4 linked regions of the Lytechinus pictus genome follow. The protein of the gene in region 3 interacts with the protein of the main gene of each other region in a pairwise test. Links are inferred from orthologs where the notes say so. Each region holds a gene or a part of one and is shown on either strand. Other genes may lie near its edges.

Region 1 (7,081 bases), on a different chromosome or scaffold from region 3:
TCTGCCCCTATCTGAACTAAGCGTGCATACATGTAGATGAGATGCGATACAAGACTTTTCCCCAGTGTATTCTACAGACCCTATTGCACAAGCTTATTGATAAATCATTGTGATTTGCACAATTGATTGCGCATAATATTAATAACCAAGCACAAAAATCAGCCCTAAAATCACACACTACGCTTTGTGATGCATACAGTGTACAGTCCGAGTACTGTTAAATACGGTATACCTTTTCTCACACCATTTTCTTAAACCCGGACTATCATCAACCTCATACTATCCTTAAACCAGTAAGCTAAGCTGAACTCCAGACTTTAGGTGGGGCTAAAATGTAATTTAGCCTTACCTATAGTATGGGGTTCAGGAAAACTTTGCCGGTGAGAATAGGGTACAGTATAAGGAATCAACATGGAAAATAAATAAGGGCAACCAACCTGGTTGGAAAATGGGCGTTTCGTCTCTCTTTTGCCCGCTTGGTGCTGACGATGCCGGTGATCCCGTATATGTTGACAGGCTCGATCCCACTGAATGCGATCGCTTTAAAACAATAAAAATTCGAACAATGTCAAGTATATTTATGAAGAGAACATAAAAAAATGACTTTAGGGGCTGAATATCTCTATGATTATTGCTTCCCATTTTTCAATTCAATTCTTCTATTACATACATGTATGCCTTCCAAAGGCAGCACCAGTTAGAAATTACAAGTGTGACAAATGCATGTAATAACTTTTGAACATGAAAGTTTACCATTCATTTTCTCATGAAAGCTTCTGTAAAGCAATAAGAAAGGTCCGCATTTAAGCTATAGCTAAACATCACATCGATTAATCAAAGTGATGTAAATTCATTTGATATTTTCATGCAATCTATTTTATTTTCAAAATAACTAAAGAAACCGCCACAAACAAACAAGCAATAAACATTTTCATAAATTAGTATCAATAAGAATCCTTTTAACTGTCTGTGGACTGATCATTATTACAGTACCTGCATAAGATGCTGGAGTTTGCTGGTTTGTGGACCATAGTTGTCACTGTCAAACGGAGCAGTGAAGAAATGATCTGGTGCCATATGAGGGTCTGCCACTAAAAAAACAAAAAAATAAATGAAAATATAAAGCTGCAAAGGTTAAATATTATCACTCATCTCTATCAACAGTCACAATTAGGAACAAATTTTCTAATTTCAATTTGATTTTCAGATCCGGGTAATTGCTTGATTTTTTTTTTTTTTCGTGGGGGGGGGGGGGGTGCTAGGCCTGCCGGCTAGTTATTTTCTCAAGAAATTATAAAATGCACAGCAGTATTAACACAAATACATGTATCTTCATTCATACTCATTTTGCCGGTATACGGAGTATTATTTTCAATATATTCTTGAATATTGTTTGTGGCAGATTTGGGGGCAAATCTGGAAGATTGCCCCGAAGCATTCAATTGTGAAATTTTAGAGGCAAAGGGGCTGTGAGGAGTGTAAATTTTGTTTCGTGTACAGATACATGTATTTCCTACATAGATGTTCCCTCAACAGGAATACTGACATTGTTTGGACAAAAAGTAATCTTGGCAATTGTAAGGGATGGGCAATACATGTAGTTTATGTACAGTGTAAGGCATTGCTCTTTATAAAGTTCTACATGTAAGCAGTGACAAATTGATCTGGTGCCATGTGAGAGTCTGCCACTAGAAACAAATGAAAATATGAAGGCTGTAAAGGTCAAAATTCACAATAAAAAGAAAATATTGAAGAACTTGACTTGCCAGGGATACATTTACATGATATTGAACACAACTTTGTTTATAACTTTAAGCTGTATTCCTGTAGCACAAATTCCAATGGCCAGCTGATTGCATTACCACCCACTATTGAAAATTTTCTCTTTAATATTCATAATATTTCATCTATATTTACTGACACTGGGAAAAATACTTATTTCTTTTCTTCCAGGGCTACTTTTGAACTCACCAGCCCAATTTCCCTACATTGTCTGACAATTTACATTGGACCCTATGGAAATTTCTGTGACTCTTTTTATTACTCTTCCAGACTCTGTACAGTGTACACTGCTTGGTATTTCAAGGGCAAATTTACCACGAGCCGGCAAGCCCCCCATATAATTTTTTGATAATTGATAAACATATTCAATGGATATCTGAATAAGAAAATTGCTAAGGAAATCAATAGGTGACGATCAATTACATATATATAAAAAATAATAACAAAGTGACAAAACTTCATTAACAGAATAGTTATGATACTCTTGAAACGATCAAATTCTGATGATAATCATCATTAGCTTGAAAGCATTTCATGGAGCAAATAGTGACTTGCACTGAAAACTGATAAGCCCCCGAAATCCTTTTCGGATTTGCTTACAAATTTGGTTAGTGAGAATCACTGGCATGATGCAGATGAATAAATGGCAAGTCCAGATATTCTATTTCTAAACAATAATATAGATATTTTACATGTAGGGCCCGTATCATTATCAATTTATCTGAAAGCATTCATATATGGTACATTAGTACATTATATGGTACATTATTAGAATGTTACAAAATAAAGGATTATTTTGAATCCTTTCAAGACATTCCAAGCTCATACATGTTGCAACATTTTCATTAAAAATATGAAATAAAATTGATAAATTTTGCAAGAGTCACAATTTGGGTAAATAATTTATTGGCACTATCAAGAAATTGGGAACCACGGTGCATCATTTTGTACAGCAGTGCTGTATTCAGTCATGCACATGGTTCCATTTCTACCTCCATCCCCTTTAGATCCAAGTGCGTGCGTACAAATCAACCACACAATTTGGCCCAAATTTTTCTCCTACATGTACTTTATTAGCAAAGTCAAAGAGCAAGGCATGCATCGCTAAAAACTAAAGAAGTGCCAGACTTTACACTTACGATCCATCTCGAGTTTTTACTGTGACTGTGTCAGTGTGACTGAGATTTGTGTTTAAAAGATGAGTTTTTGAGTTAGCCTAGTTTAGAATGAAGTCGATAGAGGTGAATCAATGGCTGTGCTCTGCGATCTTGGCACAGACATTCACATTAACAGAACTTCAAAAGATGCTCAAATTAAAAAATGCACATCATGTCTGTCAATTCTCATTTTCATTTTCAGAAATACTGTGATTTTGAGGTCAGTCAAGCCCTGCTGAAGAGATCCAGTTCTGTAAATCCTGTCCTTGGCTTGGAACTGTAGTCTGTACTCTCACCAACTGCAACACAAGTGCACAGGCACAGCTCAGCTCAGGCACCACAGACACAGCCAGTTGCACTTGCTCAGGTCAGCTCGCTCAAGTCAATGCTGTTTACATTCGCTCCAACACTAATGACTTATGCACTGATGGGGATGGGGGTTGACGCCACTCGAATCGAAGCCGGTGAGATGCGACACTTTTCCACCGCCTAAATTCTTGATGCTATCTTCCTTGGATTTACAAAATCACAACATTTCCCCACTTATCTTGGTACTATGTAGTCCTGAATGGCGGTGAAGTCAACATGGCATTTCCCGAAAGCGATGAATTTAACCTGAAATTTTCCATATGTGTAGATGTATTACGGAGGAGGAGCGTCCATTCATACATGTAGTTCAATTATTACACATAAAAATGCATTGACGATCTCGTAAAAAATAATAATGAATTTAGTCTACCGTAGATGGGGTACGTAAACGAGAAAGGGGGGGTGGGAGGGGCACTAATGTTCTGCTAAATGGTGACGGGCGGGATTTTTCCCTCAATTTTATCATGTCTTGTGTTTCTGTTGGATCAGAGAGAGAAAGGCTACGGGCGGATATTGGCGACCAACATATTTTTTTTTCAAATACTGAAAAAAAGGAAATTAGGAAAAAATGAATGGATCGAGGGAGAAAATGGCATAAACTTAAAAAAACACAATTAAGAATAAATTAATGATAAATTATAGATATTTCATGTCATTCAATATATGAGACAAAATGACGTCACAATGAGGTCGTTTTGTCCCCAATACTTTGCTGGCGCTTCCGTGTTGCCCCCTCAAAAGTTTACCTGTGCTCAGGGGCGGATCCAAGATTTCCCAAAGGGGGGGGGGCACATTTTTCCCGAGGAAAGATTTGACAGACAAAAAAAAAGGGCACACTTCTGTTTTAACGGCATTTTTACTATACAAATTTTAATTGTGCCTCTCAAGGGGGGGGGGCACGGTCCGGCTTTGCCCCCCCCCCCCCCGGTCCGCCAGTGCCTGTACTAAATCCTCAAATGGTGAATTTTACCATAGGGTTAGGGTGAATATTCTTTTTACTGCCTCGGCTTAATTAATCTAACAATGTCACTTACGAGTAATTTTTCCATCTTGAAGAAAACTTAAAATATTTGACCTCCAAACAGAACGCGGATAATGTAGGCCTATACCGAGCATCTTTCTGACTTTTCAAATGTTTTAAAATTCTCAGGATCTCAATACATCATAGGCGGATCCAGGGGGGCCCGAGGGGCCCGCCCCCCCCCCCCCACCCCTATTGGCGGAGCAAAAAAAAGGAAAAAAGAGAAAGAACGAAAAAAGGGGAAAAGGGAAAAAAGGAAGGAAAAGAGTTAAGAAAAAAGAAGAGGAGGAAGACGAGTGAATAAAATAAGATGTGGGGAAGACTTGGAAAATAAAAAGAATCTTTCATGTCACTATATAAAATTTTCGCTCGCGCTTCGCGCTTGCATTGTCTGTTAGGTGATTTTCATATCTTGTTCAATATGGAGTTTAAAAGTCAAGTGTGAAAGTCAATATACAAAACATATTTCACCTCGGAAATCGAACTTTCATTATTTTGTGTGATTTACAAATTTATTCATATGTCCAGTTTTCAGGCCATAATATAATCAGATTTTGCACCCTCATTAGGCATTAATGAATAAGATATTAATTAAATTGTCCCTTTTGTTTCATCTCACGCTAAGCAAGAGGAATAGAAAGATAGTCGTCATTTTCATATACAAGTCCTGAGGAAGTCCCGGTCCTATGTTATTCAAAGTAATAATAATGTGCGAGCCATATCCACCTCACAATTTTCCTATAAAGTGCTTGAAATATAGAGCTGAAATCGACTCTTTTTCTTATATCGGAATATCAAATATATAGTTTAAGCTCGCGCTTCCTGCTCGCTTTGATTTTCATGACAAAATATGTATTTAGAATGCCTAGATTCTAGGTCTAAATATGAAACACGTGCGCATGTTTATTCAAATACTAAACTTGTTCTCTATTTAAATCATTATCCAGTGTCAAATCACAACATCAGAAATTTTCTGATCGCGTTTTGTGCTCGCATTATTAATGTAGGAAGGTCCTCTTTTACTCATTCTTTTCATGATTTACAAAACATGAATAGTGTCCCGTTTTTAGGTCTGAATCTCGATTTTTCCGCATCAATTGCTTAGTTATATACCTATCCCGTTCACAATTACAAAAATTGATTAACTGATCTTACATTCTTTATGTAGAAATGTCAAAAATTTCCAGCTCGCGCTTCGCGCTCGCATTATTTGATTGTTTTTATATGTAACGTCTTCATGGCTATATAAGTGCAAGCAGTCCTTAACCATGTTAACAGGTACCTTTTCGATCAGTTCAAAACGTATTTAAATTTTTTTGCTCGCGCTCTGCACTCGCATTATTAATGTAAGGAAGATCCCCACTTACTCATCCTTTTCATGATTTACAAAACTTGAATAGAGTGTCTCGTTCAGTAGGTCTAAATCTCGAAATTTTCCGCTCGCGTTTCGCGCTTGCATCAATTGTTTAGTTATATACCTATTCTGTTTAAGTTACAAAAAGTGCTTAGAATTTCTATTCCTTATGTAAAAATTTCAGCTCACGCTTCGCGCTCGCATTATTTGATTTTAAAAATATGTTACGTCTCCATGGCTAAATGCAATTGCAGTCTTTAATAGTACTCTTTCCATCGGTTCATTTCTGCTCGCGCTTCACGTTCTTAGTAATTATTCATTTGCATATACATCTTTGTCAGGATAACAATCATTGCCCAGAATGTTCAAAATTTTAGGAAAAAATACATAAGCTTTCCCAATTTTTTTTTAGCTCGCGCTCGCATTTTATAAATAAGGATTATGATATTATATATCTATGTCTATACATAAGAATAAAACTAAGAAGTGACTATTTGGAATACCCCTTCAAAGAAACCAAAAATCATTTTCGAGGGCCCGATCGGGGAAAATATGGCTGAAAAAAAGTTCCGGGCCCCCCTATTGGCGAAGGCTGGATCCGCCCCTGATACAGGCCTATACACTTTCTATAAATATATCAAGAAGATAATAATAGGAGTGTCGCCATGATGCAGGGTAGTTTGAAGTGATCTTTAAAAATGACTTCATTTATTACTCTTTCAAAGATGCGGGGATGCGACCCTGTTTTTATGTTTTTCATTTATTTCAGTAATCCTTTTCTCCCCCCTCTTTTTTTAAATAAATATTTTGTTTCATGTAACATCTTAGGAGCCGCCGCGGCGCGCCGTCCCCTATTCGTATCCAATGTGATGCCGCCCTTGTATTTACCTATTAAAAAAGTAAGATTTGAATTCACAAATTAATTTCTATATATTTCAGACTTGCATAATTTTGTTGAATCGTCATCACATCAGATTTTTTGTTGAAAGTATTATTTATCCCAATAGTGGAGTCATGAAAACCTTTTCGTAGGCCTATAGCCTATGGTGCATTTGTGTGTGTGGGGGGGATTTGTGAAGCGAGCTAACCCCTTCCCATAGCAGTTGTTTTCACACTAATTTTATAATACAAACTGAAGTGAAATTGATTAAATGTTAATGAAATGTACGATAATTATGATATTGGATATTGAAGACAATTAACAATAAAAATAAAGTTTGTGATTTTTATCATTTTTTTTAAGGAGGGGTCAACTAGTCAAATTGCTCTAGTGCTCTATTGTAGGCCCATATAAATAAATATTATAGAAGAAATGACAATAATATATTATATTGAAATATTATTTATAAAAAATTCTTGGCTCTGAATTGATTATTCATTTCTTCATGCATATTCAAA
Region 2 (7,773 bases), on a different chromosome or scaffold from region 3:
GTTCTGTTGCAATTTTACAACTTGCAAATTGATCACAAGTTTCTTGCGATAACTGTAGCATTTTGCCCAAGGCAGGCTTGTCCGACATACCCATGGGTAATAAACAAATTGTAGGTTCCAATAATCTACAGGACAGGGCCATTTTTCTATACCTTTTCTACCAGTACAAATGGGAATAATTGAAAAAATAAGACAAAGGCACATCCAAGATAGTAAAACATAGCCTGTAATGAACTTGATAATGAACAGCTTATGTTTTATCTTCGTTCAGATTTTAATCACTTTGTTACTAGCTTACATGTACATCCATTCCACTTTAAAAGTGTCATCTTTTATGATATTCTTGGCTCTTGCCATCTCCAAATTAAGAGTTTCTGTCAATGAATGCCTTTTTTAGAATTAGCATAAAAATGTTAACGTGTGTTTTATGTATGAATGATACAGAGGTCTTGCCATTTCCATACTTACACTGTAGTTATATCAGTTGCTAGCCCAGAGATTCCCAAATAAAGCCTTGGTCCCATCTCAAAGATTTTCTGTGCGTTCATCGAGACGGTCTGAGCTTGTACTCCAAACCGTCGATCTGACGCGATCCCAACGCAGTCTTTCCCTATCATGGCCACAACGGCCGAGCCGTTATATGACATAATAGACTGAAATATAAGAAAATGTATAAGAAAATGTGTAAGTGTGGCAAGAAATAAACGTTCAAAACAAAAACCTGGAAAACTATTTTCAAATGGCTTTGGCTGGCTAAAAGGTGCATGCACACATTGTTTGCTCATTTTCTAAAACAATCCTTGTGAAGGAAAAAAACAAAAAACTGTTTGCTGTACCAGGCCGACCATAATTAAAACCCAGACTTTTATTTCTTCTTTCAATTCTGAAAAAATAAGTGCAGACTGACTTTGAGTCCCTTCATCTTTCTTATTATTCTCCCCGATTTCTTTACAAATAAAAAAAAAACTTGATAATTTTGGCAAATGAAACAATCTAGAAAAGACTAGATGACCCTCAAATTCCTCAATCTTCGATTTTAAGTGGATCATGCATAAAAACGGCCGGGTTCCCATCACACACATGCAAAAAAGAGCATTTCACTCTCTCTAACGTAAAAAAAACAATAAAAAAAATAAATAGAAAAGGACCAAAGACAACTTCTGATAACATTAACCATGGTCTAAATTAACATTAGTTATCTTCTTAAGTGGATGACACATTTTTGGGGCTTGCTTGTTTGTTGTTGCTTTTTTAATTTTATCATTTTTTTTTCATTTAATTTGATGGTCCAGCACCCGAGTACAGTCCATAATTTGTCATGCTAAACATGATCCATGGTAATGACTTTGTGGCAATATTTTTAGATGGTTTTTAGACCAATTTACCCATTTGATTACCGGTTTTATGGCCTTAGTATCATGCAATTAGTCACCTCTCTTCTCGCGTGTCAGTGTGTGTGTGCACTCGTTGAAGTCAATAAGGTTTATCGCTATATACGTGTGAGGAAAAAGATACTGGCCCAAAATCACCAATTTTGAGGATAACCGGAGGATGGACACGGAGTGAAATACGGGTGAAGAGTAAGAAATTAAGCTATTTTACTTTCTCGTTATATTTTTTTAATATAATTTTAACAATGAATAACATTAACGCGATTTGCGTGCTGTCGCCAAGCGGAAGACAAAGAAATCAAGATGGCGACGTAAACACGGCCGTGAGCTCTTCCCATCTTTTCATAACATTTTTCTCGTTTTTTTTATTAGGCCTAATTCTTCTTTAAAAACGAAATTGATATCGCAGAAATGTTGGAAATGAAGTTGAAGTGAACCCATGTACCGGTAGGCCTACATGTTTTATAATACTACTACTAGGGCTAACCCAGAGAGCTCCAGCCCGCGTAGCGGGCTGGAGCCCAGACGCTCAGTGTGCAAACGGGCATTCAGGTGAGAGTACCGTGAAGTTTGGTCAAAATAATTTTGATAATACATAATTAAAACAGAAATTAAGCACTTACCACGATTGTATGGATGATAGTCTAACGAGTGGCAGTTTCCTGACATCGAGGCACAGACTGGAACCTCAAAAAACGATCAGTTCTGTCGCGGTGGCTCTCCTTCTTTCAAAATTCATAGCAAAATGGCCGTTCGAGAGGGTGTAGGGCGCATGCGCGAATTTGACAAAGTCTATATGCGCTAGTGCTATACTAGCCTCGGTCTCGATCGGCCATTTTGTGTTGAATTCTGAAAGAGGAGAGCTACCGCGACAGAACTGATCGTTTTTTGAGGTTCCAGTCTGTGCCTCGATGTCAGGAAACTGCCACTCGTTAGACTATCATCCATACAATCGTGGTAAGTGCTTAATTTCTGTTTTAATTATGTATTATCAAAATTATTTTGACCAAACTTCACGGTACTCTCACCTGAATGCCCGTTTGCACACTGAGCGTCTGGGCTCCAGCCCGCTACGCTACGCGGGCTGGAGCTCTCTGGGTTATACTAGGTCTAGGGCTAGATCTTTTAGTTTTAGAGGGAAAGTAGAAATCTCAGGGGCGATAGTTTCAGGTTTTGTGGCCGTACGTGCGTGATTATACCTTGGCGTCCCAGGCGTCAGTGGGGAGTAAGCCTACGTAGAGTAGATGACTTTTACTCCCCAGACGCCTCCAGGCTACTTCGCCCGAGGCAGAATCTTCATCTGACTTGTGCTCCGCCGCAGCGGACTTCGAGAGAGACTCGCTCGAATTCATCGCGGTAGAGACTCCCCGACGCCACCCCGAGACACGGTCATGCTCTCGCAGGTCAACTAAAACTAAAGTCAAACTTCGTTCGCTCTTCTTTCTTATACAATAAATACATGTCTTACATTCTCAAATCAAAGGCATTTAAAAGCAAATACTTGACTTTAAAATCAATCACATTTCTTACCATTATGCCTAGATTGTTTGTATCCCCGGCCACAAACAAGACAGATTTTTTCCAATTCCTAAAATGTGTCAATTCACGATCGTTTGTAGACTTTCTCTGTTTCGACAAAGAGGGCTCACTCATGAAATATTCTATTTCTATCTCTTTCTTCTTCTTCTTCTTCTTCTTCTCCTCCTCCTCCTTCTTCTTCTTCTTCTTCGTCTTCTTCTTCGTCTTCTTCTCCTCCTCCTCCTCCTCCTTCTTCTTCTTCTTCTTCGTCTTCTTCTTCTTTGCCTCTTCCTTTTCTATTCTTCTTATTTATCCATGTTCACCTTTTTTCTTCTTCCTTAATCTCAGTTTTCCTCTCATTGCTCGTAGGCCTATATAGTAGGCTTTCTCATCTTGTAAGATACGAAAATTAGCCCGATGACATTTTAAACTTTTTTTTTTTTAAATAGCCTTAAAAAATATATATATATCTCAAAGCCGGGATCTCAAGTCACAAGCGTTGATGGAAGTTAGACTGTCTTGACCTTTAAGAAAATGGGTAAAAATAATTGCGACGATTCCTAATGGTGGGTGAGTGTTCAAAAGTCCCCATCCCATACCTCTGACTGACTTTAAACCTGTTTTTCCTCCCAATAAGCATTCGATTTGTTTTTTTCATAAACTTCTTGATAAAGGTCCTTGACAAGCGATTTCTAGGGCCATTTCTCGAAGGTGGGTACCTGCAATTATAATGGCAATTTTATATGGTAAAAGATAGCTATTATGATCCTGCCATCACCCCCCCCCCCCCCCCCCCCCCCCATCCGACGCAGCGTAATTTCATTATACGCCCATTATTCGTCTAATTCCCATTAAGGTTACACCAATTTCGTTTGCTAACACCCATATGATTATCAACCAACTTTTTTATTTGACATAGTGAGAAAAGGTATAGTAGGCCTATTACAGACTAATGATAATGACGGGTAACGGTTTAGAAGAAGTAATTATATGAGAGGGTAGATATGGGGGCCCCCAATTTATCACGACCAAGAAAAAAAAATGAAAGAGAAGGAAAATCTAAAATTATTATCTGAATATCATGTCAAAATCTATCACAAAATTTTCTTTTGGTAATAAAAATATAAAAAAATTTGCTCTCTCGCATATTTTTCCAAATTAATTTGGCCCTATACGGCATGTCTGGCCCCTTAAAACTGTTTGCTCACTAAAATGACGCTAGTGTTGGTGAGGGGGTAAAAATATTATTATCAACATTTCCCCCATTTGACGCCTAAAAAGTTTATTTTAATTTTTTTTACCGCGTTTAGAGGGCTGTACTAACCAGAGAATGACGTTTCATTCATCTTAGCCTTATTATTCGCCAAGATCTCAAAGGGTCAAGTCCACCCCAAAAAAATGTTGATTTGAATAAAAAGAGACAAATAAAAGAAGCATAACAATTAACCCTGAAAATTTCATCCAAATCCGATGTGAAATAAGAAATATATCATGATGGCATTTTAAAGTCACGCTTATTACTCACAAAACTCATGGATATTGGCTCTATGCAAATAAAAGCGTTGATGATATCCTTCACTCACTATCTATTTATTTTATTTTATTTTTTATTGCTTGAATTGTGAAATATTCATTTCTTTTTACAGATTTGACAATAATGACCCTTTTGTCTGAACCACAAAATGTTGAAACATTGATAATCACATACTAGAAATTAAAAAAAGTGAAATTCTAGCTAACTTTTTGAATCACTAACTGTACTTTCTAAGCCTTATTTTTTGTACATATAGAGGTGCATATCTCCATTTTCTCACTACACAGTATGTTTTCAATAGCAAAGCTTTGCTGTTGGGGACATTGGCACTGACTAACAAGTGTGTCAATATTTTCGCGTGTTGTTAAATTCGCGGCCGATCGGCAATTCGCGAAATCCGCGAAAATAAAACCCCCGCGAAAATTACAGCTTGTACAGTACTGTGTTCAGAAAGGAATAAAACTTCGATTCACATGACAATCAGTGGCGTAGCTACGGGGGGGGGCCTGGGGGGCACGTGCCCCCCTGAGATTTATTTTGGTGTGCCCCCCCCCCCCCAGGTGCCCCCCCCCCTGAAAAAAATGGCAGAGCAAAAAAAGGGAGAAAGAAGAAAAGAAAAAAGGAAAAGAAGAAGAAAAAAAAATAAGAGGAAGACGAGTGAATGAAATAATGTGAGGGGAAGACTTGCAAAAAAAAAACAATTTTTGCTTGCACTTCGCGCCAGAATTGCCTGTTCGATGAGATTCATATCTTGCTCAATAGGCTGATATGGAGCAAGCTTTGAAGTCAATATACAAAACATATTTTAGCTAGGACATCGAGCTTTCATTATTTTTTTTCATTTACAAATTTAAGTGCTCTGTAAAATGTCCGTTTTATGGTCTACATATCAGCATTAAGCTCACGCTGCGTGGTCACATTGTTTGATTTGCCAAGTTCATATTGTCTACGTGTCCCGGCTACGTGTATTCCATAATGTTCCATTAAACAAATGTATTCAGAATGCCCAGATTCTAGGTCTAAATCTAAAACATGCGCGATAGCCTGCATGTTCTTTATTTAAAATGTAGTTAAATTATCCAGTTTCACATCAGAATATCAATAATTCGCGCTCGCATCAATTGTTTAGTTACATACCTATCCCATTTATTAATACAAAAAATGCTTAGAATGACCATTTTTTAAAAGTCGGAATGTCAAAAAAATTTGCTCGCGCTTTGCGCTTGCATTATTGAAATATATACCGTCTTCCTTGACAGGTCCCTTTTCGATAATGCTAGAACAGTTAATAAAAATTTCTGCTCACGCTTGGCGTTCGCAGTAACCATCTTACATACATATCTTGTTCAGGATCACACATATCATTGCCCAGAATATCAAATTTTCAGGACAAAATACATAAAAGTAAAAAAAATCGCTCGCGCTTCGCGCTCGCACTTTTTTATAAGGCTTATGAGATTATTTCATGTTTATGTTGTTTTATAAGAATAAAACTGAGAAGTGACTGATCGGGGAAAATATAGGTGAAGATAATTTCGGGCACCGTCCCCTATTGGCGAAAGTCGGATCCGCCCTTGTGACACATACACACACACCGGAAAAAATTGTGCCCCCCCCCCCCCAGGAAAAATATCCTAGCTACGCCACTGATGACAATGAGGAGATAATTAGATTTTTCATATTCCATGCTGTAATGAAATACAAAAGAAATAGTGAGTGGATGAATGCAATCGGTCTCCTCATTTGCATACCGACCAGGATGTGAATATAATTGTTTCGTGAAACTTAGCAAAACTTTAAAATGCCATATTATTTTACATCCGATTTAATGAAATTTTCAATGTTATGCTTGTTTGTTTTTTCGCTTTTTATTGAAATCAACTTTTTGTTGGGGTGGACTTGTCCTTTGAATAAATAATGAGAGCGTACGAAGCGTGAGCTATTTTTTCACTAGTTCATTATTTCATCTATTCACAGCTGAAAATTAAATATTCTGAGCAGCCTTTTTTCTGCCTAATCATGAACAAGATGCGTATAGTCTGTGCTTGTACATAATAGCGCGAATCGCAAACTGTTTTTTTTTCTTCAATATATTGACATCCTGAAAAGGACTCAACAAGGACTATTTGCAGTGATTCATGAAAAAGGGTACATATCTCACCAATCAAATAATCTGAGCGCGTAGCGCGAGCTGATTTTTTTTTTGGGGGGGTAATCATGAACAGGGCCCGTAATTTCCCTGATGTAGAATAACAAAAACTTAATTGAATAGCGAACAAAATTTTTTTCTTTCAAATTATTCTCTTCGCCTTACTTCATGAAATTTCTTCTTTTTTCCCGTATAATTTTGTTTTATCTATCTATTTCTTTTTCTCCTCTCTGTAATGGAATAGCGCCATCTGTGGCGAGTTACATTAGAGTGCAAAACAATGGGATCCAGACCATCAGTGATCCAGACATGGAGGTGGATAAAGCTTATTATAGATTAAATTGCCTGGTTCAAAAGTATATCAGTTTGAAGCCTCCGATAAGTATTTGTAATACTGTAATTAAGTTGGTAGTTACAGTAGGAGTAGAAGAAACAACAAGACAAAATACTTTCCTTCCTTTTATGAGCCGACAATATGGGAGGGGCACGGCCCTTGATTCGCCCGACCCCTGGCCTGATGACCCCATCCCAATTTTGTGTAAAAATTGAATATAGAAATTACGTTTATAAAGCATTTAAAAACAAATTTCTTGGGAAAACATAATTAGAATTCACTGCAAGGGACTATAATTATTCATAACTTATAAAAACTATCCGAAGATTGCGAGCAATGAAATATATTTAAAAATTGCACTAAGTAAACCTAGAAGAAAAAGAAAATGAAAGTGTTTAGCAAAGGTATGTTTGCAAGGGGGGGGGGGGGACACACTCGTTGAAGGACCCGAGGTTACTATCTAATCACTTCTAGATATACTGTATATAACTTCCCCTCATCAATGATTTTTTTTTCTTCATTTTTTTCACTTAAGAAATTGAAAACTTTAAACAAAAAAGTGCCATCAATGTTTATTTTGTCTTTGAATATAATATAAACCCCTCAAAAAAAGTTTGGAAATCTGAGTTTGGCCATTAATTTCTCCCAACTCCCAATTTAACACAATGCATATTTGATATCATTTAAAAGATCATTTAATTTTCTTTAAAATTATACAATGCCTGTTATAATCATGCCATCACGAAAAGAGCAGGATTCAAAAGTTTTGGATGAGGTCTGAATTGAAAAGCAGCAAAACGAGCAGAAGTAGTCATGAAGGGTCAATAAAGAACATGATGATTTTGTC
Region 3 (7,965 bases):
ACAGTTATCGATCTCAGTTAAATTTTTCAATAAAACTAGACAATGATGCAATAGACAGGGTAAATACTATAAACTTTTTAGGCGTACAGATAGATGACAAGCTCTCTTGGGTTAACCATATAGATAACATCCATGGAAAAGTTAGTATGTGCATTGGTATGTTATCTAAATTACATAATATGCTTCCACTTAAAGGTCAAGTCCACCTCGGAAAAATGTTGATTTGAATCAATAGACAAAAATCAAACAAGCACAATGCTGAAAATTTCATCAAAATCGGATGTAAAATAAGAAAGTTATGACATTTCAAAGTTTCGCTTATTTTTCACAAAATAGTTATATGAACGAGTCAGTTACATCCAAATGAGAGAGTTGATGATGTCACTGACTCACTACATGTATTTCTTGTTTTTTATTGTTTGAATTATACAATATTTCAATTTTTACGAATTTGACAATTAGGACCTCCTTGCCCTGAACCACAAAATGTTAAAATAATGGAATTCCACGTGTTCAGGGAGAAATGAAACTTCAATTCACATGACAGCGACGAGAAAATCAAAATATTTCATATAATGAAATACAAAAGAAATAGTGAGTGATGTCATCAGTTCCCTCATTTGCATACCGACCGAGATGTGCATATAACTGTTTTGTGAAATGAAGCAAAACTTTAAAATTTCAAAACTTTCTTATTTTACATCCGATTTTGATGAAATTTTCAGTGTTATGCTTGTTGGATTTTTTTTAAATTCAAATCAAGTATTTGTTGGGGTGGACTTGTCCTTTAAAACCCTCTTTGTATAATGCCATTGTCTTGCCCAATTTGGATTATTGCAGTCTTGTCTGGGGAGGAGCCAGCTCATGTCATTTAAGCAGATTGATTGTACTTCAAAAGAAAGCAATTCGTCTATGTTCTAACACGCATTATCTTGCCCATACTCCACCTCTATTTAAAAAATTCAACACTGCCAATTTGACTGATACTATAAAAATAAAGGCAGCACTCTTTATGTTTCGATATATGAATAACATGTTACCAGCTATATTAAATGAATATTTTCTTACAGTTGATAAAAACATTGTTAATACAAGACAGAGAAAGAATATATTTGTGCCATATTCACACTTAAAACTACTACAGACGAACTCTATTAAACACAAAGGGGCTCAATTTTGGAATAGTCTTGACCCACTACTTAAAAGAATGACCACCGTTACCTCATTTAAAGCTAAAATTAAACAGCCTCTTCTTGCCACTTACAAGTGATTCCTTTAAATTGAACCAAAACTAAACAAACAGTTATATGATATATTTTGTTTTGTCATGTATTGTAAATATTGTAACTTGTTTCATGTATTATTTCAATTGCTATTTCCTATGAATTTTATTCCTACTGTAATTTATTTGCTGTATTTGTGTCACTGTTACATGTATTTATCTGTCATAGATCCCCCTGCTTTTCAAGCCTCTGGCTTTCCTAGGGTGTTTGATCCTCACATTTTACAATGTATATATCTACTCATGTGATTTTTACCTAATAAATAAATTGAATTGAATCTATAAATTGTTCTTCAAAACGGCATTTTGTAACATAGCTAATCGAAGGTACGTTATAACGAAGCGGTTCAAGGGTCAGACCTGTGGGCCAGTCAAATATATTGCTGTACACACGCGTGAACAAAAAAACGTGTTTAAGGTGTATTTTTCAGTTTTGGACGAGGGCCGCGCGTGCACTCGTTTGAGGGTATCAAAAACACAGATTTTCAAGAAAAAGGGTGGTTTTGAAAGACTGGTCAATGGTCAATCGCGGGGTCAAATGTTTTTTCCCCAAAACTTTTTTTTTTAAGACTAGCCAAATGTGTTTAGGGTATGTTTTTTTCCCAAGCTTTTTCCCCGTGGTCATATTTTGGCGACAACTTGTTTAGGGGGTTATTTTGCACACAGAGAAAAAGTCGTTTAGGGGGTGTTTGGAAATTCCTTGGTCACGCGTGTGTATGGCAAGTTCCCCCAAGTCTGCGCAGTCCCCCTTGTCTGCGCACACGCGTATCTGCACGATTCCAGTAAAAGAAGATATGCAACGAGCACGAACTTTACACATGCAATACATAGACAGGTATTCATTAAAAAATCTGACTCAAAATGGTGGAAAAATAATGAATTTAGGCCTTTTTTTTTATTAGGGCATTTTATGTGACGGTCTCAAAATGCAGCCTTTCTCATCAAAATCCCCGAATCGTGTGCAAAGTGAATGAGTGCGCAGACATGGGGTAATATTTTTTTGCAATCTGAAAATGACTGACCAAGGTTTTTCTCAAGAAAATCCTATATTTTCTTTCATTTTTTAATGAGAAATTTGGTACACTTACTCTTGATAATATAAGGAACATTATTAACTGAAAGATTTTGTAAAATAAGAAGAAATTCATGTTAAATCTTAACTCAAAGACTTGGGGCCCACCATCATTCAACAATATATTTAACTGCCCCCCCCCCCCCCCCCCCCCCGGACCTTCTTAAAAGATGGATTTCCTAGGCTAGGGAAATCCATCTTTGTTTACAACTACAAGTGTCTCTTTACATATATGACAGGCGGTTCAAGGCTCAAAGATGAAGAAGTATATGTCAAAATGTTAAAAAATATCATCATGGTCCATGATGATATTTTTTAACATTTTGACATATGGAGTCCTCAACTTAGGCTACCTCCCCCAAGTTAATCTACAGTCCCACCTATTCGATTCTGGGCAGTCTCTGGCCACTAGACAGTAATTACCTCTCGATCTTTGAAGTGAATAGCTTTCAGAACCATGGCCACATTCCTTGCATTATCTACTCTCAATGATAGCACATGCTGCCCGTCTTCTTCACTTTGTTGGGTTGATATTAAGGACATTGCCAATCATATGCTGGAAGTATTAAGTGCAGGCCGAATCAATACTGTAAGTCTGTTATCTTTTGCAAAAATCAAGTTTACCGCGGGTCTGCTGCCCTCTTGTGCTTATATTGCATGATTTTTTTTTCACCGATTCAGAGAGCTCAGCTCCGAGTCCGCTGCCGATACCAAAAAAAATATTATTTTACTTTATCTAAGACTATTTTTATATTTATATAAAGTTGCCAAAGCAAACAAGCAAAAATAAATAAGTGAATAAATAATTACACCTATGACTGCATGACACTTACCAAATCATCAATGTCGTTGAATTAATTTTGGTTAGGATAGGTCTGCAGATTCAATTTCACTGAGTTGGACATATTTTCTACGTCGCATATCAATCACACCTGTAATATGATCAAATTTTCAGGATAGGCAGTTAACTTCCCCCCCCCCCCAAAAAAAATCCTTTTAGTAAGTTTTATTTCCACTTTTATTGAAGCAATAAATTGATTTTATTTCTTAACATATGCCATAAACATATTGTCCCTAAGCATATTCTTTCAGCACAGGGCCATCAACCCCATCAACCAGTCAGATAAACAGTAGACGTGTTGATATTGAACGTTCATGCCAAATCGCTTGTTTTCCCCCTTTTTTTCTCTCTGGAATGGCATGGGCCTTACCAAAGTTGCCTATTATTTCAAACAACCTTCTATTTTAGACTCGGTTTTAAGACCCTATAACTACCGAACTACTGAGTGAGTCAGAATAAAATTTTATACCTTTAAAAGTCCTTTATCGTAAACACATAGGCCCTATATATGCCAGGAAAGAGTATTTCTTCCTAAATATTTTGAAACGTTTTTATGTGATACATGCTTACACCTGGATAGACGGTCAGGAAGTATTTTGACGTGGGGTAAAATTTGATCTGTGGCAAAGTGAAAGCAATGAATGAATATAAAGTGTCAAGCTATAATCATATAAGAGATAAGAAAAAAATAGTTTGAAATTATCTTTTTCCCCCTTTTCACTGTTTAATTTTAACAAACACTTTTGGCATCTCTCTCTATACTTATGTCATCTTATTATTTTGCAAAAAGTTTACTTAACTCGTGCACGATTATCACATCAGATTCTGGATTCATTCATTTCATTCATGCTATACCTCGGCACAAATCAAATTTCACATCACAGCGAAGAAAATTATCCCAACATAATCATTTACCGCATAAAAGAAATCAAATTTTCAGAGGGAAGATCTGGGAGGGGGCGGGCAGTCAAATGTGTTGCTGTACACATGCGTGACCAAATTATTTTCAAACACCTCCTATAACAAGTTTTTCTTGGTGGGCATGGGACCCTAAACTTTATCCTGATCTTATTTAATGTTTATGAACATCTATTTTTTCCCTCAATGCAGAGGTCAGAGGGTAGTCCGTACGTAGCTGTAGAAAAAGAAAACAAAAAAAATTGTTGTTTAGTATCGACATAACGATGATTAGACCAAATGGTAATTAGACCAGGGGCCTGCAATATAAAAGAAAAACACAATCAATCTCAAACATGATTGACATCAATCATAAATCTATGGTAAACCATGTACTAAATTCTAAGAGTTACAATTTGATTGTATCTCTTCATATAACAGGCACCTAAGGGATATTAGACCAAATGACAATTAAACCAAGGACTTATTAGACTAAATGATGGTAGACCAAATGAGGTTAAACTGGGCAATGGATCAAAATCAATGTGTACACCACATCGGTATAAGACAAATTTGATTTTAAACCATTTGATGGTTTGACAAAATGGCAATTAGACCAAATGATTAACACCAAATGGTTATTAGACGAGATTCCATGTAGGCAATATCTAAAAACAAAATGATAACACCAAAGACCCCCACCCATCAATGCCAATAAAGGATGAACAAAAAAATGGAATTTTATATGAAAGTGAAATTTTATTAGGAATGTTCACATTGATTATTTTACATTGAAATAAAAGTAAAAGCCTTCAATAAACTATTTTAAAAATAACAATTGCAATTCAGTAGCTCAGAAACCACTAATTCCCATTGTGTAAATACATTTACACACAAACAGTGCTATAAATTTTGAATACTTATTGTATTCAATACAATTACATAGAACATGACAATTAAAAACATAGTGTAAAAAACAAAATCAACAGAAGTCACCATATTCATATTTATATACTATACTGACATCCCAAAATATACAAAGACAATCTCAATATGAACCTCACATAAATTATGAATGAAATGTATTGACTCGCCTGGAGCTTTCGATTTCTGAGTGTTTTCTTTTTTATTCCTAAGACTTTTGATTCATGTCCACTTGACTGAATTCCAACAGACTGAATGCAATAAGTACATGTAAGCACATATTCATGTCTGCTCCAGTGTCATGCCGTTACAGTATCATATCTTGTTTGATTGAATTGCTGTTTAGCTTTGGTTGGTGTATAATCTCTGATACTCTTGAGAAAGGAAGTAATCAGAGCCCGGGGGGGGGGGGGGGGGGGGGGGGCCACTTACATTGACGAGTGGATACCATGCGCGACCAAAAAAAACACGTAAAAAGGATGTCTTTTTTAATGATAGGGCACGTTAAGTACGTAACGTGATAAGGGTGTCAAAAACACAAAAATAATGAAAAAAGGGTATCTATTTCGCTAGGAAAGCTACGTGTTTAGGGTCAAATTTGCGGGGATGCTAAAAATATTTGAATGTTTTATAAAGGATGTCTTTTGTGCCCCAACATTACGTGTTTAGAGTCTGATTTGCACGAGGTGTGGAAGGTGGGGCCGTACTAAACCAAATGGTGTGTAAAGGTAAACCGATGACCGACGGACCCGTGACATAATAAAATATCGCTGTACTTTTTTAGGGGTTCATTTCAGGGAATACTTGCCAAGAGTATCGTTTTGTTTCCAATGCTTGTTAAGGGTAGGGTTTCAGACGCCAATACTCGTTAAGGGGTGCATTTTCAGAATATGGAAAATACGTGTTTAGGGTGCTTTTCGAGACCCCATGGTCGCGCATTGTATCCACTCGTCAATGGAAGTGGCCCCCCCGGGAATCAGAGGGAAATTGGTTAAAAAAAATCAGCTTTACTGGTCTTCGGTCTCGTTGACCTCTGGTCAATAGGTTAGACCACTGATGATCCATTGGTTAAATGCTAAAACATACATATATAAATGAACATAGGGTGCAGTGATGAAAAGCCTATCATCATAGCTGCTAGCAGCTGAACGAACAAGATGTGGAACTCGGGATAGGTACAGCATTTCCAGTAATGATATAAAAATTGCATTAAAAATACTCGAAAGTAGCAACACAAACTATAACACCCGTACAAAACTCATTTGAGGACAATTAACATGGCACAATGTTGAAATAAATGGTTATCATTATTCCTTTTGAAGCTGTGCTCCAAGAATTTGAAATCATTCTACAGATCACCTCTGTCTTCAGCATTTTGCATACATGAAAAAGGTGAGCCATAAACTACGCTTACACATAACATTAATAATCACAAAATAAATGTTATGTCATATCGTAAAATGTGCCATCCACATAACTATGGATAAAATTACCCTGGTTTAAGCACTAGTGTCCTTATATAGTGATACAAATTTTTATCAATATTCTGAAACATATCCAGAATAATTTGTTATAATAAAGATAACAATGCTAATAGCTATATTTATCAGGAAATATGCAAAGGTCAGCAGCTTGCAATGGTCTACTAGTACTATAAGGGTAGAATTGAATATCAGGAAGTGAGATGAAATGTATGTGTTGCTACTAGACCTGGTTCAGAACCAATTTTCAAACTGATTCAGCTAGTTCAGGATTTTAATAGAGCAAATATGAGCTCTCAAAGCGATCCAGAACATGAACATTTACCCAGAGATCATACACAAGAAATGCTTTTATATTGAAGGGGGAGATTAACATGTACAGTTCTGAATTACAAGAGTACCTAAGCAATGTGTTTCCATAGCAACATAGCTAAAGGTGTACCTCGTAAGGGTTCCATCTGGTCACTCTAGGAAAGTGACTAAACAAAGTATGTATTAAGTATGCCTTACAAGAGGTAATTAAAGCATTGACATAGCAACACATTTGATTCATGGCATAATCCATAAAATACATTATAGACCTATTTACTAATATTCTATTACACTAAGGTTTTCATTGTCAACTCTGAAGATTGCCCATCATAGCAACAAGTAATGTTTGCACACTGGATTCCTAGTATTCTGTTTTTCTGAAGGAAACACTTTAATATCAAGAAATGTTTTGAACCGAAAGTTTTGAGAGATGACTCATTTGTTGTGAGGTAAAATGATTTGGAACTGCATATATTCTGTTTTCATTGAAAGGACAAGTCAACTTATTTCAGGAATAGTGTATTGTACCCGAGAGGGTAGGAAATAGATCTTATTTTCAGGGGCCATTTTTTTCCACATTGGGGGCAATTTGCAGAATTTTGGGGGCTATTTCTTTCATTTGAATGGCTTTTTTAAGGGTAAAAAGTAATTGTGCAGTAAAAGCAAATGATTATTCTTCTGCCATTTAGAATAATGATTTTTCAAATAGTCTTAAATATTGTTTGGAACAGATATTGAGGCGACTCTAGAAAGAATAGTCGCCCCAAAGCATGCATTTGATTTGGGCTGTCATGAGGGCGAAAACCCCCTCGCCCTCATATTTCCTATGCTAAAATTTGTACCCCTTTATATTATGGTGTAAAGGGTAGACAAAGAAAAATCATTTGTAGCTGCTGTGTATTTATAATAATATTTTTCCTGGTACAGGTATTGTCTAAACTTCCTACCTATCAGTTTCCACATGTTTATGATTTGCTTGTTATGTTTCTGATTCTTGCCCAACCTCTTTGGTTTTGATTTCCTGTTGTGCATTGCAGCAGTAGCAATGTGTAGATATGGTATCTTTTGTGTTGATTGAATAGAAAAATCACGAACAAAGAAAAATGACTTAAACTTTATCCAAAACTAGGTATATTCAGAAGATCTGAATGCAATA
Region 4 (7,947 bases), on a different chromosome or scaffold from region 3:
GTTGTGATTTGTGAACAACTCTTCCCATTACTTTAGTATATATTTCACTTAAACTGCCTCTTTTATCACATCTATCAGTAGATAATGTGTTCTGTCTATAGGAGAGCATGTTATACAGATTTTTAAAGAATACATCATGGATGAAGAGTTTGTATAACCATAAAAAAATATATATACTTTTTACGCATATTTTATAGTCGATCAAAGGGAAAATTGTTCACATGTGACATCAAACATCCTTGTCGCATTGCCAATGGGAGGATATCCATAGCATTAGTGATTGTAATGTTCAAATGCTCATAACTTTCTCATTATTTGTCCGATTTTTCTCAAACTTTCTTTGTTCTTATTTTTTTATTTTTCTGTTTCAACACAAGCCTACTTGTTTAAAAGGTTTCATTTCCCTTTAAGATTAAACATGAATTTATTTTCATTCCACAAAAAAAATTTCAATTAAATCTAATAAGTGTGCCAAAAATCTCATGAAAAGTTCAGAGAGATACATGATTTTCTCAGAAAAAACCTTGGCAAGTCATTTTCATATTGGACAAAAAATGGTGCCCCATGTCTGCGTGCCCATTCATTTTATTTAGTCTTTACACACGATTCAGGGATTTCGATGAGAAAGCATTTTGAGGCCGTCAATTTGCGTCAAATGAAAATGCCTTAAATATATTATTTTTCAACCATTTTGAGTCAGATTTTTAATGATTAGATCTATATTATATTGGAATCACTCATTTGAGATGAGATAGTTGTTCATCTACTAAAAAATGACCTTCTATGTGATGAACAGCATGGATTCGTTCCTGGCCGCTCATGTGTGACACAGCTCCTAACAGTAATGGAGGAATGGACTAAAATGTTAGATGTAGGAGCTCCTATTGATGTGATCTATTTGGATTTTAAGAAAGCCTTTGACAGTGTTCCTCACCTTCGCCTACTCTCCAAACTGGATGCTTACGGTATAGGTGGTGAACTTAAGTCTTGGATAAAAGACTTTCTACAAGGAAGACACCAGAGAGTAAAAGTCAATGAGGAGTTATCTGACTGGACTAGGGTTAGAAGCGGCGTGCCCCAAGGTAGTGTTCTCGGCCCGACAATGTTTGTTATCTCCATAAATGATCTGCCAGAATGCCTTCAAGGGAAAGTCAGGATGTATGCTGATGACACTAAGCTCTATGGTAAAGCCTCTACCAACGATGATCTCTGTGTAATACAGAATGACCTCGATACCCTAACAGAATGGAGTAATACTTGGCAGTTGCACTTCAACTCAGAAAAGTGCAAAGTATTACATATCGGCCCAGGAAATGCTAAGCGCACATATTTTCTTGGATCCGATTTACTTGAGCACACTTCAGAAGAAAGAGATCTTGGCATACTGATTGACGATGAACTTAAATTTCATAACCATGTTGCAAGTACTGTGAAAAAGGCCAACGGCGTACTCTCATGTATACGACGTAGTTTTGAATGCAGAGATAAATTTACAATCCCAAGACTCTACAAAGGACTTGTCAGACCGATCTTGGATTATGGCAACTCTATATGGTACCCCAGATTCAAGGGTGATGCTAAAGCCATAGAGAAAGTTCAAAAGAGAGCAACCAAAATGATCTATGCTATTAGGAATCACTCATACACAGAGAGACTGAAGGCACTCAACCTGAGGTTAACCTCCCATCCCTTCAGTACCGCAGACGTCGTGGAGACATGATCCAAGTGTACAAAATTGTTCATGGATTTGAACGCATCCCAAGTGATGCCTTCTTTGAACTTTCAGCAGGCAATACAAGAGGTCACAGTCTGAAGCTTTCTAAACCCAGATGCTTGACCAAACTGAGGCAAGATTCATTCAGCCAGCGGGTTATAAATGACTGGAACTCACTCCCTGAAGAAGTAGTTACAGCTCAGACTGTGAATAGCTTTAAGATCAGACTGGACAAAGTGTGGGCAGACCAGCGGTTCTGCTCACCATATGAGTAGCAAACATCTTATAGAAGGTAGAGATCTGAGCCAAAACGACACTGAGCAGACACCACACCAATCATTGAGACGGATGAAAATGGCACAGAACTGGAAGCCTGACTGCTGGGATCCACAGCACTCTTCCAGAATCTCGGGTAAAGGTAAAATTATTATATGTTGATCTATTGCAAATATGTGTAGTAAAGATTGTGGTCATTTTGCAACTTCTAATGTTAAATTGATGCAGATACGCGTATGAACAGACAAGGGGCACCTTATCATACATTTTATTACAGTACCGTATATAGATCTACATTTTACTATTTATTACAAGACTAATCATTATTTGGCAAGTTCAATCAAAATAAGTAAAAACAATGTGGACTTCATTCCACACACATCATGATGCGCATCTCTGATTAAAACATTATTTAAAGTAGACATAGAATCACACATAAATCCTAAATTTGTATTTCCAATTCTATTTCTAACTTAAATATTCTAATCCACTATCAATATTCTCAGTCATAGTTAGATAGTAGTAAACTACGTTACCGCCCACTACAGCTACTCACAATGCATGCAGCTTTAAACAAACACACACACCCTTGCCTAGCCTGCCTTTGCATTGCATACACCGATCAGACCATTTATCAGCCGATTGACGACTCATGCGTGACACCCATGCCATGCGGCAGCTACACACACAGCTCAAGAACACAGCGGCCTAGTGCATGCATGCACCGGCCGGAGCCATAGCTCTACTACGCCTTGAGTAACCGTACACGTGATTATTGCGATACCGGTACACAATCGCCAACAAGAAAGACAAATGTTTACGTTTGAATTTAGACGGGATTCAATGAAAAATAAAACTGAAAAAAATTTCAGTATTGACAAGAACTGACCGTAAAATACTTCTGTAGAATTTCCTAAAAACAAAGATTTTCCTTCACTGTCGACCAAAGCAATAATCGGAGATTTTGTTCACTCACGATCACTCAGCAGCCAAACAAAACGTTTACAGTGATTATTCTGACGTCACAAACTCGGAAGTGTCGACGTCGCGTCGATCGACGCAACGAACAAGGGGCGGGGCTAGCTTTCTTGATACCCGCCCCCCCCCCCACACACACCAAAAATAATGCTTAGTTTGAGCTCATTTTTTTTTCGTCACTGTGTTGTAATTTATCATATTCAGAGACCTAAGAGCCGCCCAAAACTTTTTCAGTAAACAAACTTAACACAAAAGGGTAGAAATGACCATCGAATTATTGTTACTGTTATAGCATACAATGCCAATGGCGGGGGCATTACCTTGCAGCCACCTGGCGCATTATAATTCCCCGTTCACGTACCAGCTTGCCTCTCACCCCCCCCCCCCCCCTCCCTTGAATCGTTCCACGGCCCATACCCAATGTTTTGAGATTTTTCAAACCAAACAAATCCTTTTTTTTTACTTAAAAAAAAGATGCCGTATGTTAATTGTTTGTTATTAATTGCCACCGTATACTAGACCCTACCCCCGGACGGAACTGTATAATTTCAAGAAATGCAATTTTCTCAACAAAATTGAGAATGATTTTGTTGGATTTTGTGTGTGCATTCATTATCATCATACGACACAGTAATACCCATTCCATACCCGCTCCTGTAGGAAAAATAATTTTCAGTAATCCCCATTCCATACCCGCTCCTATAGGAAACATAATTTTCAGTAATCTCCATTCCATACCCACTCCTATATAGGAAACATAATTTTCAGTAATCTCCATTCCGTACCCGCTCCTATATAGGAAACATAATTTTCAGTAATCCCCATTCCGTATACCCGCTCCTATATAGGAAACATAATTTTCAGTTAGGCCTAACTTCATGAAGCAATTCCATCCAAATTACGAATTTATGAAATATCTTTAACAAATATATGCGACGGATATCATGCAATATCAATTCACATTTTGTATTCTCGGATAGATTTTTCTTCAAACCTTCAAAAGAAGATTTTTTTCTGATTATATCAAAACACCTCCTCAGTCATGTCAGTGAAGACAAAATGTTACATTATAAGTACTATAATCAACAGACAAATCAGTTTAAATCAGCCGAGGGAAAGCTTGGATAAAGCTAAAAACTAGTTTATATATTATTAAAAAATCAAGATCAAATCGGTACAGATTTGTAGAATTTCAATTGCATGCGCAACAAAATAAATGCTTTGATGACCTTGATACAAGTTAATTTGGAAAAAGCTGAGTTGACAAACACTTGAAATTTAGTACAAATGCATGCAGTATATAAATAACTAGTAATTATTATTTCATAATATAGAATTTACCTTTGGCTTTTCGACTTATTCTTCGCTATAGGGCCTATTCCTGATACATTTGAGAACAAGAAATTTTTAATCAATCACAATTGGCCTGCTTTGATACATGGCATATATAAAATTCGTCAAAAATATTTAAACGGGTAATAAGGCCAGGGGAATTCCTGTTGTATGTTTAGCAAAATAGTAATAAAACTCAAGATGTCAAATTCAGGGGCCACGGAAGCGGGGGTGGCTGGGGGGGGGGGGGGCTGAAGCCGTGTACAAAAACGTAAAAATTACCATAGGATTATGATTTTTTTGCATGGTCAGCCCCCCACTTTTGGCTCAGCCCCCCCCCCCCCCCCCCCCCCCCCCCCACTTTGAAAACCGTTCCGCGGCCTCTGATATTATAAACAACGTAAATATACACTTTTTCTGTTAATATTATTTTTTTGTTGTCAAAATTGGTTGCCACAAAAATCCCTTTCTTTGAAATTTGATTTTCGAAGCAAGGACGCCGTAATGAATGAATTGTGTAATCCAGAATTCTCGTTAAGAATTCTTTGGTGGTAGTTCGAGAGAAATCCTCGACGAAAAGTGCACTTTGAAATTTATATTTTAACATTTATATTTTTTAGATAAATTGTGGAATGCAAAGGATCATAATGACTGCTGAAAATAGTGTGGCCAAGGCACTGCGATCTGTAGGTGAACGGATTCAAGCAGCCTCTATGCAAAGAACCTCGGTATGTTTGCCAGCATTACTTAGCAGCACGACCGGTACGGTACCACGGTACCGGTACTCTGTGCTATGCCATGCCACCGGCCGCCCGCGCCTCCGCGGAACTGACGCCCTGTCGATCGACTGTGGCCGTGGCCGGTTGCCGCTCTCAAACCGTATTCTCTACTAGTCTAAATTAATGTGTCAGTTCACTTCATGTTTGGGAACCCATGATAAGCACTGGCGTAAAGATGGGGGGGGGGGGGGGGGGCTCTTGTCCCCAAATATTTTTCACGACGAGAAAAAAAGAAAGAGAGAGAACTTAGCACATGAATTGAGAAACATGATGATACTATAGTATGAGTGAGCTGATACTTGATAGGCCTAATTATTATAAATTTCTGAAAATTATGAAATATGATGTAAGTCCCATATCTATCCTATCACAAATTTTTTTTTTATTAAAATTGTCCCACCATAAATTGTTCTCAAAAACATTGCGAACAATTTCTGGTGCACCACTAAGGATTTTTCCCCCCCTCTTCATTATTATCTAATCACTTTTAAAGACAATACGGTACCAGGGCCCCATTGGCATTGCATAAAAGTTACTATCAAATTATAGTAAATTTGCCATCTAAAGGTAACTGATGTGTTTCCAATGCTCATCGGTCAATCAGAATCAAGGATTTCAGGGAAGTGTCTACTAATTTTTAGTAACTTTTATGCAACCGGGGCCTCGATCTGGTTTTGTAAATGTCTAAAAGAAGATTTTTTTTGTTATTGCTGATAACATATCAAGTCTCTTCTAGAATCTTTATGATGAAAAATATTTGCAAGATGGTGCATATGCACAAACATCAGATGAAGTCTGATCAAAACTGGTAATGTGTTATGTTTTGTTTCTACTCAAATCATTTGGTAGAATTTTGAATGTGCAGTATGCTCCGTTTATTTGAAAAATTTTAGTTTGAATAACTGTTTTAGTAAGCAAAAGGTTGGTAAACAAGTCGCTTGTGAGTACAATGTAGCTCTCCATACTTGTATGTCTTGTAGAATAATTTCCATAAATCAACATTTCTCACAAAATTTGCAGTGATTTACTTATCAATATTATGGCTTCAATACTTCTTGATCACTGGATGTTTTCTTACTAAAACCAACACTGAGCAATTCAAACAATCATTAAATTTCCCATTTCTCAGACATTGATTGTCAAATGTGGCTGTAATATCTGTCCCCTCACTAAAAACAAAAAAACACCTACATTTTATTTTATGATTTGTCTTTTCTCCTTCCAGACAATACCCAGTGTGGAACCAAGACTAGTCGCAGTGAGTAAAACCAAACCAGTATCTATGATCCTTGAGGCTTATCAGACGGGACAGCGCAACTTTGGTGAAAACTATGTAAGGACTAACTTCCTTAAAAAAATACAAATAATTAATTAGAATTTGCTTTCTTGTCATTTTGGAAAAGTTGAAGACCAGTAAGTGAAAGAAAACACAAAGATTGAGAGCCATTTAGCCCCTTGTGAATTACTATTTTGTTTGAACAATATTGGTTCAGTTGATGTAAGATGTCATTTTGAATAAATAGTGGCAGGAATAATGGCAGGAATAATGGCCCCAATACAGATGTAACAGGAAGCAGTTTCAGCCTTTTTGTAGATGAATTCTATTTTATTTTCTTTGTATTCAGGTACAAGAGCTTGTTGACAAATCTCATGATGCCACAATCAGAGAACAGTGTACAGATATCAGGTGGCATTATATTGGTCATCTCCAGAGTAATAAGGTCAAGAAACTTCTCAGTGAGTATGAGATTTTCTATTCAATGAAGATGAAATCTTCGGATCAAGTTAGTTTGTATGAAAACAGAAAAATTGAATTATATTGAAAATTAATTGGGGAGTTATACAACATACAACATAACACATGTTAGTCACATTGCCAATGAGAGGATGCCCATATCATTAGTGATCTCAACATCCAAATTCCCATAACTTGCTTATTATTTGTTTAATTTTTCCCAAACTGTCACTGAATTGTTTAATTGATTTTTCTGTTTTCACTCAAGTTAACTTGTTCCCAGAGTTCATTCTCCTTTAAGATCCCAATGCATAAAAACTTACTATTTAAATTTAAATACAATTGATTGAAACATAATAACTGTTATAACATGCTACCTTGCTAGGTTTTTTTTTCTCTTCCTTTTTTTTCATATTTTGGTACAATGTTTTTAAAACCACAATTCAATTATTTATTTGTTTTCTATGTAGGTTCTCCTAATCTGTACATGGTGGAGACTGTTGATTCCAGGAAGTTAGCATCAGAGCTTGAGAAACATTGGAGCAAAGAGACAGACAGAGGAACTCTCAGGGTCTTTGTGCAAGTCAACACAAGCGGAGAAGCAAGTAGGAAATTTATAACAGTTTATTTTGTCCTTTTCTTCATGATTATTAAATGAATGGTATGTAATTCCAGAGCGATAGACTGAAATTCCTGGAAATATTTATGTAAATGTATGTATTTGGACATGCTGAAAACTCCAAACTCGGTTGTTGTAAGATCAGTCTTATGAATGATAAGTGAAATGAAAGGCAAAATAGGCCTATGTTTTTTATGACTCTTTAAGTCATTAAAAAAACTTGGTTGTACCTGTTTAATTCTGGCTCATTGGCCTGTATTCTCAAAAGAGGTTTCGATTGTACCATAGTAGTATAAAAACATGGACTATGCAGATTTGTGTACATATTCACGCTTATTTCATCGTTTACATTTAGGAAGTCCAATGTGATAATACCAGATACCTACGTAGTGCTTGGTTTTGTACATTTGAAATACTGTGCACTGTATCTCTATTAACTGTACAGTGTTCAGTTCTATATTGGTATCATGTGTTATCATGAAACATTTGAAATAATTGAAATTGACTATTTCAT

What was found.
Region 1: the proteins of cell cycle checkpoint protein RAD1-like (region 3) and PAN2-PAN3 deadenylation complex subunit pan3-like interact in a two-hybrid assay, tested with the Caenorhabditis elegans proteins (2 studies listed by BioGRID). The link is inferred for Lytechinus pictus from reciprocal best matches to the Caenorhabditis elegans genes mrt-2 and panl-3.
Region 2: the proteins of cell cycle checkpoint protein RAD1-like (region 3) and proteasome subunit beta type-3-like interact in a two-hybrid assay, tested with the Caenorhabditis elegans proteins (2 studies listed by BioGRID). The link is inferred for Lytechinus pictus from reciprocal best matches to the Caenorhabditis elegans genes mrt-2 and pbs-3.
Region 4: the proteins of cell cycle checkpoint protein RAD1-like (region 3) and pantothenate kinase 3-like interact in a two-hybrid assay, tested with the Caenorhabditis elegans proteins (2 studies listed by BioGRID). The link is inferred for Lytechinus pictus from reciprocal best matches to the Caenorhabditis elegans genes mrt-2 and pnk-1.

Annotation. Positions count from the first base shown.
Region 1 is NC_087249.1:48,654,962-48,662,042, forward strand, and holds the start of PAN2-PAN3 deadenylation complex subunit pan3-like, read right to left. Parts: upstream 3,013-7,081; 5' UTR 2,929-3,012; coding exon 2,922-2,928; intron 1,092-2,921; coding exon 994-1,091; intron 541-993; coding exon 438-540; intron 1-437. UniProt on the Caenorhabditis elegans protein: Regulatory subunit of the poly(A)-nuclease (PAN) deadenylation complex, one of two cytoplasmic mRNA deadenylases involved in general and miRNA-mediated mRNA turnover.
Region 2 is NC_087257.1:9,035,321-9,043,093, forward strand, and holds the start of proteasome subunit beta type-3-like, read right to left. Parts: upstream 3,013-7,773; 5' UTR 2,925-3,012; coding exon 2,922-2,924; intron 654-2,921; coding exon 469-653; intron 1-468. UniProt on the Caenorhabditis elegans protein: Non-catalytic component of the proteasome, a multicatalytic proteinase complex which is characterized by its ability to cleave peptides with Arg, Phe, Tyr, Leu, and Glu adjacent to the leaving group at neutral or slightly basic pH.
Region 3 is NC_087246.1:3,922,408-3,930,372, forward strand, and holds the start of cell cycle checkpoint protein RAD1-like, read right to left. Parts: upstream 3,005-7,965; 5' UTR 2,898-3,004; coding exon 2,778-2,897; intron 1-2,777. UniProt on the Caenorhabditis elegans protein: May be a component of the 9-1-1 cell-cycle checkpoint response complex that plays a major role in DNA repair. Promotes DNA double strand break-induced cell cycle arrest and apoptosis, thereby playing a role in genome stability.
Region 4 is NC_087256.1:1,123,000-1,130,946, forward strand, and holds the start of pantothenate kinase 3-like, read right to left. Parts: upstream 3,023-7,947; 5' UTR 2,880-3,022; intron 2,685-2,879; exon of another isoform or gene 935-2,684; intron 1-934. Other genes in the region: pyridoxal phosphate homeostasis protein-like, read left to right, coding at 4,933-5,028, 6,305-6,412, 6,705-6,816, 7,285-7,419.